4 linked regions of the Drosophila melanogaster genome follow. The protein of the gene in region 4 interacts with the protein of the main gene of each other region in a pairwise test. Each region holds a gene or a part of one and is shown on either strand. Other genes may lie near its edges. The genes, in order: CG3713, Cen, CG10510 and Usp8.

What was found.
Region 1: the proteins of Usp8 (region 4) and CG3713 interact in a two-hybrid assay, tested with the Drosophila melanogaster proteins (one large-scale study listed by BioGRID).
Region 2: the proteins of Usp8 (region 4) and Cen interact in a two-hybrid assay, tested with the Drosophila melanogaster proteins (one large-scale study listed by BioGRID).
Region 3: the proteins of Usp8 (region 4) and CG10510 interact in a two-hybrid assay, tested with the Drosophila melanogaster proteins (one large-scale study listed by BioGRID).

Annotation. Positions count from the first base shown.
Region 1 is NC_004354.4:845,610-848,822, forward strand, and holds CG3713 (uncharacterized protein), read right to left. Parts: upstream 1,549-3,213; 5' UTR 1,495-1,548; coding exon 1,243-1,494; 3' UTR 562-1,242; downstream 1-561.
Region 2 is NT_033779.5:20,678,421-20,683,536, forward strand, and holds Cen (centrocortin), read right to left. Parts: upstream 3,427-5,116; 5' UTR 3,199-3,426; exon of another isoform or gene 3,114-3,198; 5' UTR 3,073-3,113; coding exon 700-3,072; 3' UTR 501-699; downstream 1-500. Other genes in the region: IKKepsilon (I-kappaB kinase epsilon), read left to right, coding at 1-351; CG2617 (uncharacterized protein), read left to right, coding at 4,029-4,853.
Region 3 is NT_037436.4:21,207,591-21,211,953, forward strand, and holds CG10510 (uncharacterized protein), read right to left. Parts: upstream 2,495-4,363; 5' UTR 2,405-2,494; coding exon 2,234-2,404; intron 2,084-2,233; coding exon 1,208-2,083; intron 1,153-1,207; coding exon 628-1,152; 3' UTR 558-627; downstream 1-557. Other genes in the region: CG10512 (uncharacterized protein), read left to right, coding at 1-4; CG10508 (uncharacterized protein), read left to right, coding at 3,141-3,214.
Region 4 is NT_033777.3:21,132,498-21,138,714, reverse strand, and holds Usp8 (ubiquitin specific protease 8), read right to left. Parts: upstream 4,454-6,217; 5' UTR 4,305-4,453; coding exon 4,210-4,304; intron 4,147-4,209; coding exon 3,658-4,146; intron 3,599-3,657; coding exon 3,436-3,598; intron 3,381-3,435; coding exon 2,898-3,380; intron 2,843-2,897; coding exon 2,399-2,842; intron 2,234-2,398; exon of another isoform or gene 2,156-2,233; coding exon of another isoform or gene 2,069-2,155; intron 2,001-2,068; coding exon 1,770-2,000; intron 1,707-1,769; coding exon 1,252-1,706; intron 1,196-1,251; coding exon 865-1,195; 3' UTR 501-864; downstream 1-500. Other genes in the region: Trm7-34 (tRNA methyltransferase 7-34), read left to right, coding at 4,890-5,010, 5,066-5,715, 5,771-5,962; Ice2 (uncharacterized protein), read right to left, coding at 6,217-6,217.

The sequences.
Region 1 (3,213 bases), on a different chromosome or scaffold from region 4:
TCCTTCAGACACTTCAGACTTAAACACACAAGTTTTACAAATGTGGCACGCAGTCGCAACAAGAACGGAAACGGAAAATGTTATTTCGCAGCCACGAATGCAATTCCAGCAAACAAATGGCTCACAATGGGTGAAGTAAACCCCCGAAGCCACTACTGCCAAAGGAGGTGACTTTGCCCATTAGTCGGTTTAGGTGTCGTTTGCCGCTCTGCTGAAAGTTTCCAGCGAATGTCGCACTAAAAGTTGTCTTTCTCGCGATTGCGATACAGATGTGAATATATAGGAGGTCTTAAAGGGTGGGTGGACAATGCTGCAAGGAGCATGGAAGCAGATCTTGATGGGCTGCAGTAGCTGTGTCTTATCCGACTCGGAATTGCTTTGGAAGAAACGAGTTCACACTGACTGTATGCTACGACCGGAAGAAGAGCCCAATTGATAGGTCAACAATGAAACAGTGCAACTGCAAACTTGCTTTAGAAACGTATTACTCTGTGGTCTGCGCGTCGTATACGTAATGCGACCTACCGCCCCACAAAACGAAATAAAACATTTTAACAGTTTACAAACAATATTTTCATATTTATACTCATTTCCATCAGTACTCGTAGAGTAAATAAGTCAATAACAAACTTTAATACAGACTATAAGGTATCCGATAGTTGGCACACGACTACGAGTAGTTTCTATTGTTTGGAAAACTGTGCCTGGTTCTTTGGTGCTCCCAATCGAATCCAAACATTTACCATATGTGCGTGCATATACATTTTTAAACTTTTGCACACATAACATGATACACTCAAGTAATCCTATCCCATTTGAAGCTAACGTACACAGCCTTTGTCAGATTCGTTTAACCCTCTCCTGTCCATCGATGACCTGTAGATTGGTTAGGTTATTACGCCCATTTTTATTGGCTTTCAATTCGGATGCCAGTTGTCTCCTCATTTGGTTTGTGTTTTGATTGCAAAAAGTTAATTAAAATTTTGTTGTAATTGAATTTTATTGCATTGTTTGTTTGCATTTTGTTTTGTTCAGTTTTTTTTTTTTTGCTTTGTGCGGAGCTTTGTTTGAGTTTGTCGAGTTTTTCTATTTTTTGCCGTCTGTTTTGTTGTCTGGCCATTATGCCATTTGTTGTCATTTGGTTTTTGCCTTTGGTCTTAATTGGATTATGGCAAAAAGAGTTTTAATTAAACCAAATGAAGCGGAGTGCGGAATGCCAGTGAGTGGCAAGCTTTTTTTGAATCAGATGATGGTTTCCGGCAGCCTGGGATCATCATAACCATCGACGAAGCCTTCGAAGCTATCATCGCACTCCTGGTCGGCAGCCAATGGATTGCGGATGAGTTCAAAGGTCAGTGGCGGCAGCGGCGGCAGTTCGACCTTTACCACTTTCGGCGCTGCTTCTTCATTCGCGGAAGTCGATGGGAATTCCATCATACAGTCGTCCCCGCAGCGTCGGCAGTACAGCAGATCCACCAAGAAGCCCAGAAACATCCCCACCTCTGATTATGCGGTGCTCGCCCGACAGCTGATTTCGCAGCACTGACGATATCGGAGGCCCACCTACTACTATACTACCCTACTACTTCTACAGCCCCAGGCATCCACGCGTTCACAAATCCGCGCTCCAAGCCCCACGCCCCACAATCCACAGCACAGCTGCGTCCACAGCAGAATTCGAAAATGGATGGATTACAGACTCGCTCGTTTTCCGGTAAATCCATCGTCATCGGTGTAAAAAGCAAATGACAAAATTAATTAAAATTAAAATTAAATGTCGCTTGTTTGGCGTTGATTAAGGAGTGCGATCATGCATTATGCATAGCACATTATATCGTATTCACTGCATCGGCATTACGTAATCCACTGTCCACACACACACGCGCGCGCATTTATGCACTTATGCATTTATGTTTGTTGCTGTATAGAATGCACATTATAATTACATTTATGCGCGGCCATCAAATTCAATGGGACTAAAGCATTTGCATAGCGTCTGCACGCCCTGTTTACTCATTAAAGTCGAATTGCGAGGTGGCTTCCGTTCCACAAAAACAAAAAAAAAAAACACTTTTGAGCCCTCTGCAGGGAATACTACTATTTAATACCAAGCATTATTTAGACCAACATAATTGGGGATTTAACGTGAATAAAGTTTCGATTCTACATGGTGCTGTTACTACCCTGATCAGTTCAATGCATTTCTGCTCTGTCCTACTCACTCACTCGCTGTCTGCTGCAACGAAAAATTCAATTTGGCCAGAAAGAAGAGCTTAAAAAAAATGAATAAGAGTGAGAAATTTGCAATCTTTTAATCACACTTACTCACTAGCTCTGTCCCTCTCCTCCCTGGCTCTCTGCGCCTCTCTCCATCCCGCTCTGTGATTTTAATTATGCTTAACAAGCTGAGAAAGAAGCAGCAGCTGCGGCTGAGGAAAATAAATGAAGGCCATTGCTTGCCATCCGCAGGTCCTTTGAGGACTCCCGCTCCACATTTCACACTTTATGGTCCCCATTTGTTAATATTAAGTTGGTTGCTTTATTAAAGGTATTATGATGTCGGAATGTGACTAATTAAACGCACTCGGTCCATTTTTCCATTTTTTTCTTATGCTGATCTTACCCTAGATCTATGCTGCCCTTTGGGCATTGTTTGTTTATATGTTGGATTTTGCTATAGCTCTTCCTATTCTGCCGTCATTCGCCTTTCGAACTTTTTATTGTGTCAGTTAAGAAATATAACGCGGAAAATGCAAATTGGTCACAAATAGCTTATTTATGCGAAAAAGCCTAGAGCGCAAGCAAAAGACAGAAAGTAGGCCAATCATGCCACAGTCAAATTCATGTCAACCGCATGAAGGCCAGGCCCATACGCACCGACATCCTCTCCACACCACTCTCCTTTTTTTTTTTTGGGCTTTGGGTCAAGTGGAAAGAAGAACAAGCACGACAAGAATAACCACAACATGAAAAACTAGGTTAACATGGGTTAAGGTGTGTCATTAACTTGCCACAAACACACATGGGAGGCCTGGGCCGGCATTGAGTTTGCCCCACGGCACTGCACTGCGCGTTTCCCCTCTCCCATTCACCATTCACCATTCCCATTCCCGCAATTTCCATTTTCTCTTTAACCTATCCCCCACATGCATGCAGTGAGAAAAATCAGGTCCAGCAAGGACTACATGTTTTTGTTACTCTGCGTATGCTTAA
Region 2 (5,116 bases), on a different chromosome or scaffold from region 4:
AACGTAAATCCGACAGTGGCACAAATCGCAGAGTGCCTGGCGGACTGGTATAAGTTGGCTCAGACCGTCTACCTTAAAACTCAAATTTTGGAGAAGGACGTGCGCGATTGCGAAAGAAAGTTGAACGGAATACGCGATGAGTTGTATCACGTTAAGTCGGAGCTGAAGCTGGATGTGGACACAAAGACCATAAACAACAATAATCAGCTGGCCAAGATAGAGGAGCGGAATCGGCTAAGGGTCATGCAGCAGCAGCAACAGGAAGTTATGGCTGTCATGAGAACGAACAGCGATATAATAAGTTTGCTTAGCAAACTGGGCATTACCAACGGAAGTCTGGAAAGTAGTTAGACGGGCATATCATGAAAGTGCAAGAATATTTTATTTGCCTTTACTTTGTAAGTTAACAATAAATGTTTACTTTTTTATATCTGAATTTGTAAAGCAACTACATATATTCCTATTGAAACTTGGCTGAATATCGTGAAAGAGTAAGATTTCTGTAGGTCATTAAATTATTTATTTTATCATGCTGAAATAAAATTAAATTTCCGATTATAGTTATTTAGTTATTGTTATTTAACTGTCTATACATGAAAAAGCGGACTAGACTGCATGGCACACACAATTTAAAAATGGTAGAATGCCCTATGGCTAGAATGCACTGTTTAATTGCTTATTTACATTCTCTAAACAAGTTTACTTTTGACGAAACTGATGATGATGACTCTTGCGAATGTTGGCTCCGTTGTGTTGCTGTCGCTGGGAATGTGATCTTGTGGGTCCATGTTCGCCGGCATCGGCCCGGCGCAAAACTTCGGCGTAGGATAAGTCTAACTTTTTAAGTTTATGTAAGTCTTGCGATACCGTGTTATGATAAAACTCGACGCCATTGAGCTCTATTACTCGGCCCCGAGAAGTTTGGGGAGTATTCATATTCTTGTTATAGATCACCATGGGAGAGCCATTCCAGTTGCTTGAGGATGGAGTTGTCCGTCTGCGGTTACTGCGTCCGAATTCAGCATTCAATGTATCCGTACACATCTTTGAGCTCCCTTGTCCACCACCACGGTTGTTCATGGCCAGAGGACTGTTCCTGGGAGTAAATTCCCGGGAGTTAAACAATTCGATGCGATCTCCAGATGAGCTTTGGTTTCGGTGCTTTCGTCGGTTCTTCTTCTTGATTCCGACACCTACGGTTAGATATTCGAGTGGTTCGCGCTTGAGTGGAGTAAGTATCTGGCCATTCTCCCTTATGGGTTTATAATTCGGTTCGCCGACAGTTGTTTCCTTCGAGGAGCTGTTTAACAAAGTGGATTGCGTTAGGGACGATTGGTTTTGTTGGTTTCGGACATCAAAGATGTGTTTTTTGGCTGTCTTCCGCTCCAGTTTGGTAACGCACTCGGACATTGCAATGGACTGGTTGGATATAACTGAGGATACGACGCTCTGTGTGTCGTCAATGAAGTCATCTGGAGATTCCTCCCTCTCGGGTGTTACCGGGGGTACTTTGGCCGCCACCAAGGGTAATTTTTCTGTAATCTGTGCGTCGTCATGCAGGGACGGAAGCTTGTCTTCTTCGTTATTATCAGCTGCCTTCTTGAGCACTCCAAATATCTCCTTGAAGAGTTCCCTGTACTCCGGGCGATTACGGAAATGAGATTCAATGGGGCTGACGTCGTCATAAATACTGAATTTACAATCGTTTCCATTACTTATTGAGCAAAGGAAGTAACTCGGTCGCTCGTCAGTTTGCGTAGACTTGTTGCTAGTTTCATCCGAGAATCCCGACGATGTAGTTTCTGATTCCGAAAACTCGGTTGGAGTGCGCTTACGTGTTGAATCCAACATAAGGTCAGATTCCTTTGAGCTGTTAACAATTGTTTCTGATTTTTTGCCTTGACTGGACTCGGTCATGGTCTTCCCATCTGGATTGCTGGTGAAGTTGCTCTTGACCGCATTCGAGGTTCTCTTCACCTCCACCAGAGCTTCATATTTCTCGACTAGGTCCCGATAAGGATTTGGTTTGTCGCTAGAGTTGGGATTGAGGTCCTCGGGAATCCGGAAGCGTTCCTTATAATCCGCACCACTATTATCGCATTTCGAGGTGCTTTCGCTTAGTATGCTGCGATCGTCATCTTCGTAGATTTCTTCGGTTGGGGCAATGGAGGATTGATCATCCATATTGGTGTTGCTTTCGTTAATATCCCTCAGGCAGCGACTACACATTTGGCCTTGTCTCACGTCGTCCAGGAGGCTGAACTCCTCGTGCATCGACATTGTTCCCTCATTGGCACTGTTCTCCAGCAGACGTGTCTGCAGACCTTGGTTGTCTTGGATTATGGTCACCAACTGCTCCTCCAGCTCGGTGCACCGCTGCTGTTCGGCCAAGAAGTCACGTTTTAACACCTCCATTTCGCTGAGCAGCTTTACCAATTCCTCGTTGTCTTCACCCTTAACGGCGGTCCTCTCGCACATGGTGGCATTACTGAAGGAGATATCCTCCAATCCTGTCGAGTTCGCTATGGCCATAACATCTAGTTTGGAGAACTCAACACTCTGCTCCTTGCACAGCGATTGAATGCTGTGACTGGACACAGAACCCTCGGTCGAATGCTGCATCCTATAGCGTTCCTGCTGGTACTGATCCACCTTCCGCCGCTCGGTGCTCAGGGATTGCCGAGCATCGCTCAGAAGTTGACTCAGTTCCTCGCAGCGGGCTTCCAGGACTTCCGTGTTGGTGGTCAGCGTCTTAATCTGCTTCTTGTCCCGATTCTTCTCCAGATTTAGCCGCTGATTGGCACGCTCCAGATCCTGAATGCCCACTTCCAGCTGCTCGTAGACCTTAAGCCGTGAATCATTCACCTCGGTCATCGCATTAATGTGCTTGCGCAGATGCAAGATCTCCAGTTCCTGCTCATCCCCCTTAATCTTGTACTCCTTGATGAAGGTTTCCAGCTCCTTATTGCGTTCCAGGAGCGTTTTTCCCAGCTCTGCTGCCAATTGTAGGTCATCGAGCATGAACTGCGATACGTTTTCACAGCCAGCCGAACCGTGATTGGATTCCTCCATCTTGGACTTGGACCTTTCTAAGCTTGGGCTTGATGCGAACTCTGGCGAAAATTTAAAGATTTAATCGATTTTAGTTCATTTAGCAGCAGAGCTTTGTGAGCAAAGCAAAACTCAAACAGTAATTACTTGGCAAATGTCCTCTCAATGGTGGAAAACTGCTACAACAGTAACTTTTTTACTGTTTCATCCCCAAAAACAAAAAGTATGGTATTGCAGCGAGTGCAGAAAAAGCCCTACGTACTAGGGCGCAACTGCATGTACGAATAGTTAATTAATGCTTTTTATTATACACAATCGACCTGCAGACAAAGAACCGAAATGAACTTCCTAGCAGAACCGGAAATAAATTTATAATAGGATTATTCGCATTAGGGGGATTCCTGCTCAGATAGGGCTATGATTTAAGCTCGCCTTTCTTATATAACCCCTCGCGAGTTGTTTGGGGAAACCTTGTTGGATTCTGAAATACCAGCAAAATGCACGGATGTATAATTATATTTTTGAGCTTTCATTGTCTTTGAAAGAAGCATGCAATATCATAATAGATCAGTACATGAATACCCATATTAATTATTACGCATATTTATAGTTGTCAAAATTAATAAATCCAAATTGTTATGTCTCCTTAGTAATTCCTTTGCTCACAGAAGCAAAATATTTGTTTGAACATTATTAATTTAAGTTACCCTAGAATTTGGCGTATTTAAAGTTCAGATACCATCTAAGTTTAAATATATCTAGGAAGTGCAACCGATAATGTGTGGGGTGTTAAAAATAAATATATATATTAATTATACAAATATTTAAGATAAGTAATTATTTGACGCTACCTTATCGCAACGATAGCTTGGCTTTAATTACCAACCACCGCCTGGTCACACTAAGCGGCCGGCGTTCTTGTTTTGATTTTGTGTTTCTTCCTTTTCTTAATTCGAGGACAGTATGAGCCCCCCGCCATGCTGGACGCTCTAATTCGGGCAGCGGAGCTTGTGGATCTGGTCCTGCTGCGTCCGCTGGCCAGCGTGATTGATGCAGTGATTACTGGCGTGTACTACTTCCTGTGGGGCAGCTACCTCGTCGGCTTCTGTTTGGTGGAGGGCAGCAGGAAAGGATGGAATCTGTTGAGATGCGCGGTCAGGAATATCAACGAGGGCATCCGCGACTTGGGCCTCATCACGCTAGATGTGGCGGACTACTTCTACGGCGGCACCAAAGGCGGGCTCAAGAATGTACTCGATTTTGGTCACTGCATATCCCGATTCATCTGCAACTTACTCATCGATCTGGGTGATGGCATCTTGTGGCTGCTGATGCTGCTGCCGAGGGCCATACTATTCCTCTGGGACTGCCTCCTAGACTTTGTGGTGCACTCAATCGTGGCCCATGGCTTGAGCTTGCTGAACAGTGCGTTCCGGGCCTCGATAGGATTGGCCCTGCTCCTCGTTCTCTATATGTTCCGCCGCTATGTGTACCTGATGCTCATCTACCTGCTGCAACGTGGACGCATTGAAATCTCGACGAAGACGCAAAGCGTTTACCTATGGACCCATCATAAATTGCAACACTTCATACACAATGTTTGGTATGTGTCAGAGAACGCAGGATCCGCGAGTCCAGAACGCTGTGTCGTGTGCATGGCTCAAAGCAGGAACGTAGTAGTCATGCCATGCCGGCACCTCTGCCTCTGCAAAGAGTGCTCCCTGCAGCTCGTGCTCCTTTTAGAAGACCGCTGTCCTGTCTGCAGGCACAACATTACGTCGTTCCTGTCAGTTTACGTTTGATATATAAGACTGCCAATTGGAATTTAACTTATAAGTAATTATGATTCTCAGAAGTTAACCAAATGTCTTTGGTTAAGACACTTGTAATAGAAAAAACAAATAATCTTTACAAAGCAGAACAGACAAAACATTTTAATGCAGCTTTCAATTCCCAGACACCTAAAATATCAAGTAAAACAAGTTAAATTGTTTTATGTATTTATTTCAAACCAATGAAAATATACGATTTGTTTTGTATACATTTATGTAAATACGGTTTGGTT
Region 3 (4,363 bases), on a different chromosome or scaffold from region 4:
TTAAACTCGAAAGAACTGGTGGACTTACACTAGGGAGTCAAGCATACCCATTGCCATATGTTGAAGACGCCTCTGCATTTTGATGGACCAAAGCACTACAGTAACACTTTACACTGAGAGAAATATTGATATTTGCAACAGTTAGATTAGATTGCACTGGTGCTGAACTAAAGCTAGTTACATATCTCCATGTTGCACTTAAAACATATTTCTAGTCTCCTAAGAGTCTGTCGTTGCTCCTATTATTTAGTTTTTAACTACGCAAGCTTTCTTATTAACTAAAAACATGAGCTTCGGCATTCTTTTAGGGAATTAGCAATATTTAGTAGAGTAAAGACTTGCAGTTTGCAAAATAATATACATAAGTAGAAGTACAGCTAAATTTCTGTTTAAAACAAAAACTATCTGTTTTAAAATATATTGATTTTGGCACTTTGAGATACCCATGCTGTGTTCAGCAATTTCAAAACTATTAAAATAAACAATATACTCTTCGATAATCAAATATTTGTCTTTATAGCATTTTTTCTTGCGATTGCAAACAAGGTAAATATATTAATTTAACTATTATTCAATTTAATTGAGCTCATTTTTATATTTAAACATAACTTTGAATGCCACATATTTTCAAAAGTCCAGAATCACCTCATTCAAAGTGGCTTCGGCCTCCCACTTGGCCTCCTTGTGTGCCGTCGGTGAATGCACGACCTTTCTGGACTTGAATTCCTGGCACTTTGTCTCGAAAAGTTTGGGTGGCATGGGTTGAGTTGGCGATGAAACATGCATGGCGGTTCGCAGCTCTTCCGGATCCTCGGTGACACTCATGGATTTGATAAAGTCGATCAGGCGCTGATTGTCCTCAGTGAGGCGACGCTTCTCCTCCAGCATCAGCAGGTTTTGAGCTTCGGCCATCGCCTGGCGGCGCCAGAAGTTCCTGAGACTTTTGTTTAGCTCCACGAGTTCCTCCTCGGTCATGTCCACGTGATCTTTCAGGTTGAGAGTCTGCAGCTTGAAGTATTCATCGACATCCACCTCGGTTTCGTCGAATACCTCGCCGCCGAGGATTACCTTTTCCGATTCGGTTTGCAGTTTCCTGCAAGTGATCGACAGGGCCAAGAGTAATTCCCCACTTTTCACGTGCTTCTCCATTTGCTGGAATAATATTTCAATTTAGAAATGGGTAATAGGGCTTGGGACAAAGGTTCACCTTGGTCAACTCGTAGCACTCGCCGGTCAGGATGCGCAACTTCTCGTGCGTGATCTCGCGATCCATCTCCTGGTTGAGCTCAATCTTCTTGCGCACGTTGGTGAAGTACTGGAACTCCAGGCGAAGATCGTTGAGCGTGGAGTTGTTCTCCGCATCCATGCGAACCATTTCGCGCTGCAGTTCCGCCTGCATGTTGATGTACTTGGACTCCTCGGCGTTTAGCTTGCGTGACTCCTCCATGAAAGCCGCCTGCCGCTCCGTCAGCCAGTGGATCTTCTCGTACTTGTGGGCATCCAGTTCGGTGCTCCTCAGCGACTCCACGAAGTCGTTCAGTTGCTGCTGCATGTGCGTCATCCGGCGGACAATCTGATCTCGAATCTTAAATCTGTTCTCAATCTCCGTATTCACGCGATCGTCGCGCTGCTCCAGGTAGATAGTGTAATCCTCCTTCAGCTGATCCCGGGTGGTGATGTTGGTGGCATGGATTATGTTCTCGGAGTTCGTTTTCATGGCTTCCACCTCTTCGGTGCGCCGGCGCACCTCTTCATAGTAATCCCTCAGCATCTCGTCAGCCTGCTGGTCATACATGCTCTTCACCCCGCCCAACATCACGTGGAAGCAGTCGCGAATGTGATCAATCAGCTCCACCGTTTTGCTGTAGCAACGCACGTGCTGATCCTGCGTCTGCGCCATGTCGTCCAGAAGCATCTTGATGTGGTCGTTCTTGGCCTGAATGTTACGTTCCGAGCGCTCGCCCCAAGCCCTCATCTCCTCGTTTAGCTCCTTGATCTTGATTTCGCGGCACATCTCGTGCCACTCCTCGTTGCCTTTCTCCTCCATATGCTTGCCCATCTCCAGCTCGCGCATCAGGGCATCCTGAGAGGATCATGGCGCAACATTAGAAATGATGCGTTTACAATTTTAATATAGTCTTAATATATTATTTTTATTATAAAAATTAATAATATTAAGGATTTGCTTAGGTTCATCCTTAATAAAAACTCTGCGAAAGTTAGTTGAACCCACCCGCATGATGAGCCGCTTCTCCTCGATCATAGCCAGTCGCTTGGCCTCTTTCTTGGCGGCCTTCTTCTGAGCCTTGGTTAGTTTGGGCGGTCCTTGTGGCTCCGGCTCCTCCTCCAGTTCTTGGAGGTAGTTTTCCGAAACACGCGTCAAGCGTGCCAAGATTTCGGCCATTTTGCCGATGTGTAGTTGTAGCTGAACTAAATGCGTAAATCAAAGGTGAAATTTTTGGAAAATTGACGGGGGAGCTAAATTCGAATTGTGTGCCTGTTTGAAAGCTGAATCGAAGTTTGGCGCACAGCTTTCGACGGGCAAATTCCAACACTGGATACCAGCTTTTTTAACGACTATTCGCACAGCATCTGAAGCTTTAACGCCCGCCACTGATTTCCTCAGTTGACTCTCAAAGCTTGGCTCGCGAGGTTGTTTATAGCGTCGCGACTCCAGGATTCCCCAAAAACGATTCCTTTCCGGGTAGCTAAAGCCTGGCTGGCTTGCTTACTAACGGCACGCCACATCGAACTGTGTGTGTGTGAGCGTGTGTATCTGTGTGTTGCGGTCCTTTTTCCCGGCAGGCAGTGCCTTGTAAACAAAAATAACTCTGCTGCCGAGGAGAGGTTGCCATCGAGGGTGGTTACAACCCCCAAATCTGAAACATCCGACGACAAAGGCAACTACAAAGCTCCGCGCAGGATAAGTGGCAAGGGCACTCCTGCCTGCCAACTTTTCGGGGTTGCAGACAGTCGGCAAACAAGCTGCGAATGCGACTTTAAACGTCCATAAACATTCAGGCAGAAAACGAAAATAATAAAACGACGGTCGTTCGGTTTAACTGGGCATCGAAGCGCCTCGCATCTGCAAGTGCAATTGTTACTGTATCTGCATCTGTATCTATTCGTGAGCGGTGAAAATGAGCGAATCCGGTGGCTATCAGAAAATGCCGCCCGGCTGGGACTGCAAATACGATCAAGCAACTGGAAATTGGTGAGTTGCATGTGCACAGCCCGACGTCATAAATATTTATGCATCCATTAACCACAATGTCGTGAAATGCGGACTGTACTGGGAGATGTGGTGGCCAGTTGTGGGATATAGGGGTTCCATTTGATAGGTTGCCACGGGGGCAACTGATAAATTTGCGTGCCAACGTCGCTTGGGGTGGCTCTTTCGGTGGGCGAAGGATTATGGTTGGGTGTGTGGTTGTGGGTGTATGTAGGGGGCCTTGGGGGCGTAAGTCGCTTACTTTAAAATGATTGGGTGGTAGGCGTCCGGTTGAGGTGGTGTTTGCCATGTTTGGCCTTATAGTGATAAGGAAATTATTCGTTAGTTCGGTGGCTTGCAGAACTTAGTTTTGAAACACCTTTGGTATTTAAACTCTTAGGACGCAAGCTCGGTACTAATTTAAATTATTCATTTAACACACAATGGAACGAAGTACAAGCTTGGATTGGATATTGGCTAACTTTTCTTCAGCTTATAATCGAAAGAACTTTCTAACATAAAATTTTCAAAATGTTTTATGTTTGAAGAAAATGTTTTAATTTAAATTTAAATTATTATTACTGATACGCAAAACAATTTTACTGAACTCTAAAGACCCAGCGTGTGGGTACCATGTGGTTCCCTATGGGCTACTTAGCTTAGTGCTCCTTAGCCACTCCAATTGGCCTCGTTTCAGCGGCATAAATTGTGTCACTTCCGCGTCGTCGGATGCCAGCGGGGTCTTTAACATCTCCTTAGCCTATCATACATATATACATATAACTTAACCCCTTATGCTTAAAAAGCCATGTGCAATTAAGCAACATACGTTGTCATACGTTAATTCAAGAGGCCACTCAACCGAAGACGAGCTTTCCATCCTCACGACGTCCTCGTCGACATCCACCCTCTCCATTCCGAAAATCAGAGCAGAGATGGCCTGTCAAACGACGATGAAAATGACGACTGTGCGTCCGCCTTTTGGCAGCTACTTGGCACGTGCCTTGGTTTAGGCGGTTCCTTCACCCTTTACCTGTCCGTCCTCCCAAGGGACCATCAACATGTGGGGAGAATCCCAAACCAATCCACTCCAATCCAGTCCACCACCAACCGGCCGGCTTTAGGATGTGCCTCCACCCTTGGCCTGAATCC
Region 4 (6,217 bases):
CGTGGTCGGTGCTGCCGCTTTAGCTGGCTACTAGCCAGATTAGATTAAGTGATTGCAAGCACCTGTATTTTTGGCCATTTTTTAGGTGCACTGTTATAGCTATGTTCTTCTTTTGAATCATCAATTTCATCATCTTATTTAATAAGTTTAAATCATAACTCTTTATAAATGAAAAATAGGGCATACATAAAACACTATAAATGTAATAATTGATAAATCAACTAACTAGCTATTTATTGAAAGCAAGAGTTGGCAACACTGCATTTGCTAAAGAGCGGGGGCGTTTTACAGTGTGACCGTTAGTTGGAAGTGAATATATTTACTTATCGGATATCTCGAATTGAACTTTTCGGCGCGAAAATTAGCTGAATTTTTCTTTGCAATGGTAAAATAACTTTCACCCCCTTTTTTATATTATTTGTTGAGTGTAAAATACCCGCTCTCCCCAATTTGTTTTCTAAAAACCCTACGCATGATTCTTTCAAAGAAATTCTTTGTATCAGAAATTGAATTTCGTTTATTTGGTTTTAAAATATATTTGCAAAATACAATAAACTATAGTCCCGCATACACAGGCGTATATGCGGGCTTCTCTTTGTTACACTGGTAATGCACTTGAAGTTCTTGGTTTTAGTGAATGCAGCCTGCACCCATTGAAAATACGCCCACGCGTAATACTGTTCTAAGAGCCTAGACAACAACAAACAAGCGATTATCCTCTTAAATAGCAGTTAACAGTTAAGCGGTAATTTGTAAATGATAAAAGGGTGTGGCGACTAGACCTTAAAAGCTATAATATGAGAGAAAAACAAAAAACAATTAAAACGAAAGGGGTAAAAACCGAAAGGAAACCGAGCGAAGCGTCTACAGAGGCACCTGCATGGGTGGCAGCCAGGTGTAGAAAAGAATGTATGCAGCGCTAGAAACCACGTTAGAGGAGTCCAACGCCGAGACGACCTGATCGTCGAACTTGAACCATTTTCCGTAGTTGGCGCTCTTGCAAAATGCCGTGTAGTGCCCGCCTTCCATGGTGCCGTAGTGATTGGATACGGCGTACAGCTGGTAGGTCTTAGGTGTTACCGCCCGCGATTCCGCCCGTGCTATGTAGGGATTCATGTCCAAGTTCTCGAGCGGGAAGCGCAAGTAGTTCTGCTTCTTCATGTACGAGCCAGAGTTACTGGGATCCGCATAGAAGCTATGCGGGATTTAAGAAATTATAAACAAGCATAGCATAGTGTTAGCATCACTTACCGCTTAAGATGCACCACCAGCACAGGTGGCAGCTTCGATATATCCAGCTTCTTGATGGCATCTCTTTTCGTTTTACAACTAGGACAATTCCAGCCATGGATCCTTTCTCCACTGAAGTACATGTCCATGCACTGGTTCAGCTGACATACATTCGAGTTTGGCGGCAGCTCCAGGCTGAGATTAGAAAAACTCTCGTACGTGGCGGACTCCTTGTGGCAGGCCACACATTTCACAGTGCTCTTCATTTGGCCATAGAATAAATGCAGAATCATGCTCTCCTTCGCCTTGGTAAATTCCAGCCAAGCCTTTTCCGACGCACTGATCATCTCCCGCTGACGGGGCACATGTAGGGTCTGGAGATCCGAGTGCAGCCAGTCCATCAGGATGGTGAGGAATTCGTGTGAGTCCTGCTGGTCAACGCCGCGGAAGATCTTCTGGTACTGGCCCACAACGTACTGCAATGAAGTATGTTTAGTTTAGAAAGAAATTTGGGTGTTTTTTTTTTTTCAGTTGCATACCCTCAAATCTCGGCTGGCCACACACTTGTACTGTCCATTCCAGAGCTCCTTGATGAGTGCAGCCACCTCTTCGATCACCTGGCCATTAGTCTTGTTGCTTCTGCTGATGTAATTCTTGTATTTGTCCGAAATGCAGTACTCGGTCAACTGAGGCGTGTTGCTCAGGCACTGCAGTATGCTGTTCATATAGCAGGTGTTGCCCAGATTCTTCAGTCCAGTCAGTCCACGACCCTGAAATGTTATCCAAGGATATAGTTAACTATTCGGAGATAGAGGAAAATAAAATCTATAGCTATTACTCGTCTCAGCGGAAAGATGGAGCTATAAATGCTGTAGGTGGGCGGAGCTGTTGGCAGCTGGAGCCTCACGCCCGCTACACAAATCATTCGCGGAATCCTGTATAATGCTATTCCTGCTTAACAGTATGGCAATTGTACGTTTCTTTGGTTTGAACATGCTTTGAGTGCGGACGTCGAGCGACTGAGAGTGGGGGTAGAAAGCGCACCAAGAACGGCGCACGTCTGGGCGGGTGTCTTCAAAACGTGACCCGCTGGCTATTGATTTGACTCGTGTCGCGGCTATATTTATGTGGCCAGTGAGTCAACCACCACTACCCAAGCAATACTTACCACATTCTGACCAATGACAGGCGAGAAATCACGAACGCGTTGCGATGTCCTCTCCACATTCCTCGGCTGCGGTTTCATCGCCCGATCGAATGTTGGTATTTCCGCCTTGTTTGGCGCAATTGTCGGATCCGGATCGCCAGTCAACTGGAGCAGGGATTCCAGGCTGTCTGACACGACATGTACGTCCTCCAAGTTCCTGCCCGGCGAAGGCGGGCCCGAAGGTGTTGGTGACTTGTAATGCTTTTTTGTCTCGCGAGCGATCGCCAAAAGGCGCTCCCGCTCTTGACGTTCAAGTTCATGCTGCTCGTCCAAGCGCTGTCGTTCGCGGATCTTGGATTCTATATTCCTCGTTGCCTCGACCTCCTTTTGCGACAACTGCTGCGTAACATTGTGTAGCTCTTGTATGCGACTTAGTTCTTCTCGCAGACGATTGTTTTCCACGATCTACGACACAAACGAACAATTAATCGAACCTTATAAGGTAATTTATAGATCTTACATAGTCCTGGGCCTTGCTCTCCAACTGTAGGATCCTGAAGTGCAACTCCTGGTCCTCGGTAGCATTCAAACCATCGCCCTCTGCTGCTTGACGCTTCCACATTTTTGAGGCCTTCTCCAACTGCTCATCGTTCTGCTCTGCGCGCTGCAAAAACTCGGCCTGATCACGCATGATCTCAGCAATGGGCTTAGCCGGCGGAGAAGGACGGGAAATTCCCTGTTCATTAACGCGAGTGGCCGCTGGCTTGTTGGCCCGATTGAAGTCTGGACGCGGTCTGAAGTCCTTCGCACTAATATCCTCCTTCATGGTGATGTCGTGGATTGAGGGATACTCGATATCATCGATGGTCTCAATGTCGTTGTTGTTCTGCTGCGGCGCCTGCACACTGGGATTAGTGCAATGGGTCGGGTACATCATAATGAAGTACTCATAACCGCCCTCGACAATTTGAATGGGTGCGCGATACGTCACATCCGGATCCCACTACCAGAAAATAATGATTATATGTAATCTATGGCTAAATACCACCCATACTCACGTTCTTCAGGATGTCCAGAAGGGTTGAAATGGCTGTGTTGGTCGCCGGTTGGGCATCTTTGGTGTTCCAGTCCATAAGAACCACCGAATCCTTGACGGAACGCGATGCCCACGACGCCTTGGCGCTGCTGCTAAGACGAGCCTGCAATCTGCCAGCCGACATTCTGTGTAAATCCAATAAGTTAGTATCCAAATAGCGAGATTATTATAATGGACAACTCACCCTGGCGTTATCAACTCCTCGGGCACATTAAATGCACAGTAGTACGTGAGGTGGGAGGCCTCGTAGTCGGCGCTTGGGCGACAGTCCATAACTAGGACCGATTTCTCCTGCATGCGCCGATACAGATCCTGACAGGTTATCAGCCCAAGTCGGGCGTACTGCGTTGGCTGTGTTATCGGCGAGTCCACACCCGCACGCCCATTGCTAACCAGGTCGGGAGCAATTGGTTCCGGCGCTTGGTGCTGCTGAGCATAACGATGCCGCAGAGAGTTGATAATCTCCTCCAGCGTGTCCATAATGCGGCGATTCGACTCGGTGTCGCCCAGCATCTGGCGCACCGTCGTCTTGTGGCTGGGGTAATCGGATTTTTTGTGAATTGCGGTCAGCATATTGAAGTACTTCATGTAGGTGATGTAGGCCAGTTCCTCGTCGCCATCCAGTCTGTACTCCTCGGCGGTCATGTACAGTTTGCGGGCGGTGTTCAGTAGGCTGCGAAGAATGCCAGGTAAATCAAAACAGCCGCATCAGCACCAAATCGCGGTGTCCACTTACATTTTCATGCCCTTGCTGCGCAGATCCGGAATGATGGACATCTTCTCCAGGTCATCAAGGTTGGAGCTCATATGCAGTTTCTTCAACTTGGCCATTATTCGTTTTTTGTTGTCGGGGCGGGCTACGTTGAATTTGGGAATCGGGATCTCGCCGATTTTCCTGTTCTCATAGCAGGAATTTCTCAATCTGCGGGCTGGGCTGCAACAACACAATCATTTGTTATTTTGCATGAAATTTATCGATAACAAAGAAATAGGATGGCGCTGTCAGAAGTGCAAATTTAGATTGTGCAAATTTAGCCATTTAGCTATTAATATTGAAAATCCAACTAGATATGTATTTTAGCTGTACGTGTTTTATTTCAAATAAACAAATTCAAATATAATGAATATGTAACTCAATATTATGAAGATTAAAGCTAAACTACATTTTGTAGCTATTTCTATGGATTTGGAAACAAAATTGATTCTTTTTCCTAATCTACCATTTAAATATAAAATTATATTTTAACACAAAATGAATGATATATATTTTAAAACTATAAATTCGAGCTCACACTTGCAAACTTTTTAATGTTTTTAATACCAATAAACTCCCAAAGTTGAAGGGAAAACGGCTAAAACGACAGCACTGTAGATGTCGTATCACAGCTGATACCCTTTTGTTTTTATTATTTTTAAATGGGCAGGACTTCGAAGGATAAACGAGACATATTCTACCGCCTGGCCAAGGAGCAGGGATGGCGTGCACGAAGTGCTTTCAAACTGCTCCAGGCGGATGAGACCTTTCAGTTGCTAGAAGGTGCAGATCCAACCGCGTGTTTTTCGGAGCGATTCTAATTGTCCACTTATTTCAGGTCTCACCCGAGCCGTGGACCTTTGCGCCGCTCCTGGCAGCTGGTCACAGGTGCTGGCCAAACGCTTGTACGAGCCTCTGCCGCCAGAGGAACGGGAAAAGGTAAAGATCATCGCCGTAGACCTGCAGGGAATGGCTCCGATCGAAGGAGTCAAACAACTGCGGGCGGACATCAGCAAGGAGTCGACAGCCGAGGCCATAATTGAGTTCTTTGGCGGCGAGAAGGCACAGATTGTTGTTAGCGATGGCGCTCCCGATTCTACTGGAATGCACGACTTTGACTCGTACGTTCAGGGCGAACTACTTCTCTCCGCCCTCAGCATATCCACCTTCATACTGGAAGAGGGAGGCTCCTTCGTGTCCAAGATCTACCGGGCAGACAGGACCAGTCGGTTGTACACTCAGCTCAAGCGGTTCTTTAAGAACGTATGCGTGTTCAAGCCCTCCGCCTCGCGCAACTCCAGCATTGAAGCCTTCGTGGTGGCCCGAGAGTTTTGTCTGCCCGATGGCTACAAGCCTTGCAACCTGACGACCGAATGGCACGATCAACCCGAGTCGTGGGTGGGCAGAAAGAAGGAGAGCCCGCCCGTGGTTCAAGTTCCCTTTGTTGCCTACAAGGGCGAGTTGGACTCGGATCGCACATACGATTTGGTATGTTAATACTATATCTTCGTTTGGTTTAAACCACTAAAATGTTTTGTTTTAGGGCGAGAACTATGTGTATAAAGAGCCAGTGCAGCAACCCTTGACGGCCGCCTATCAGGACATTCTGCAGAAAACGAGCCAAGTGAACATAAAATATGAAGGCATTCGCGTTATTCACGATGAGGAAATGTTGAAGAAATGGCTAGAGAATGATGAGAATAAGTCTGAGAAGTTAGGTGCCTGTGTAACGTAAATAAAAGCTTTAAAAAATGAAAAGTTATGAATATGAGTGTAAATTCTGGTGCATCTCAAAATGTATCAAAACTTTGTTGCTCGCGCCACAAGCACCGCGTTCAATTTTTATTATTCCGATACATAACAATATAAACTTAACTCTTATCCTTACGCCGAGCGGTTAACTCCACTATGGGGATCACCTTTTGGTTTTGTAACAGTTAGTAACTACATCCCTAATAGTAATCAACTTATGCAATCAGAGTGCGGTTTT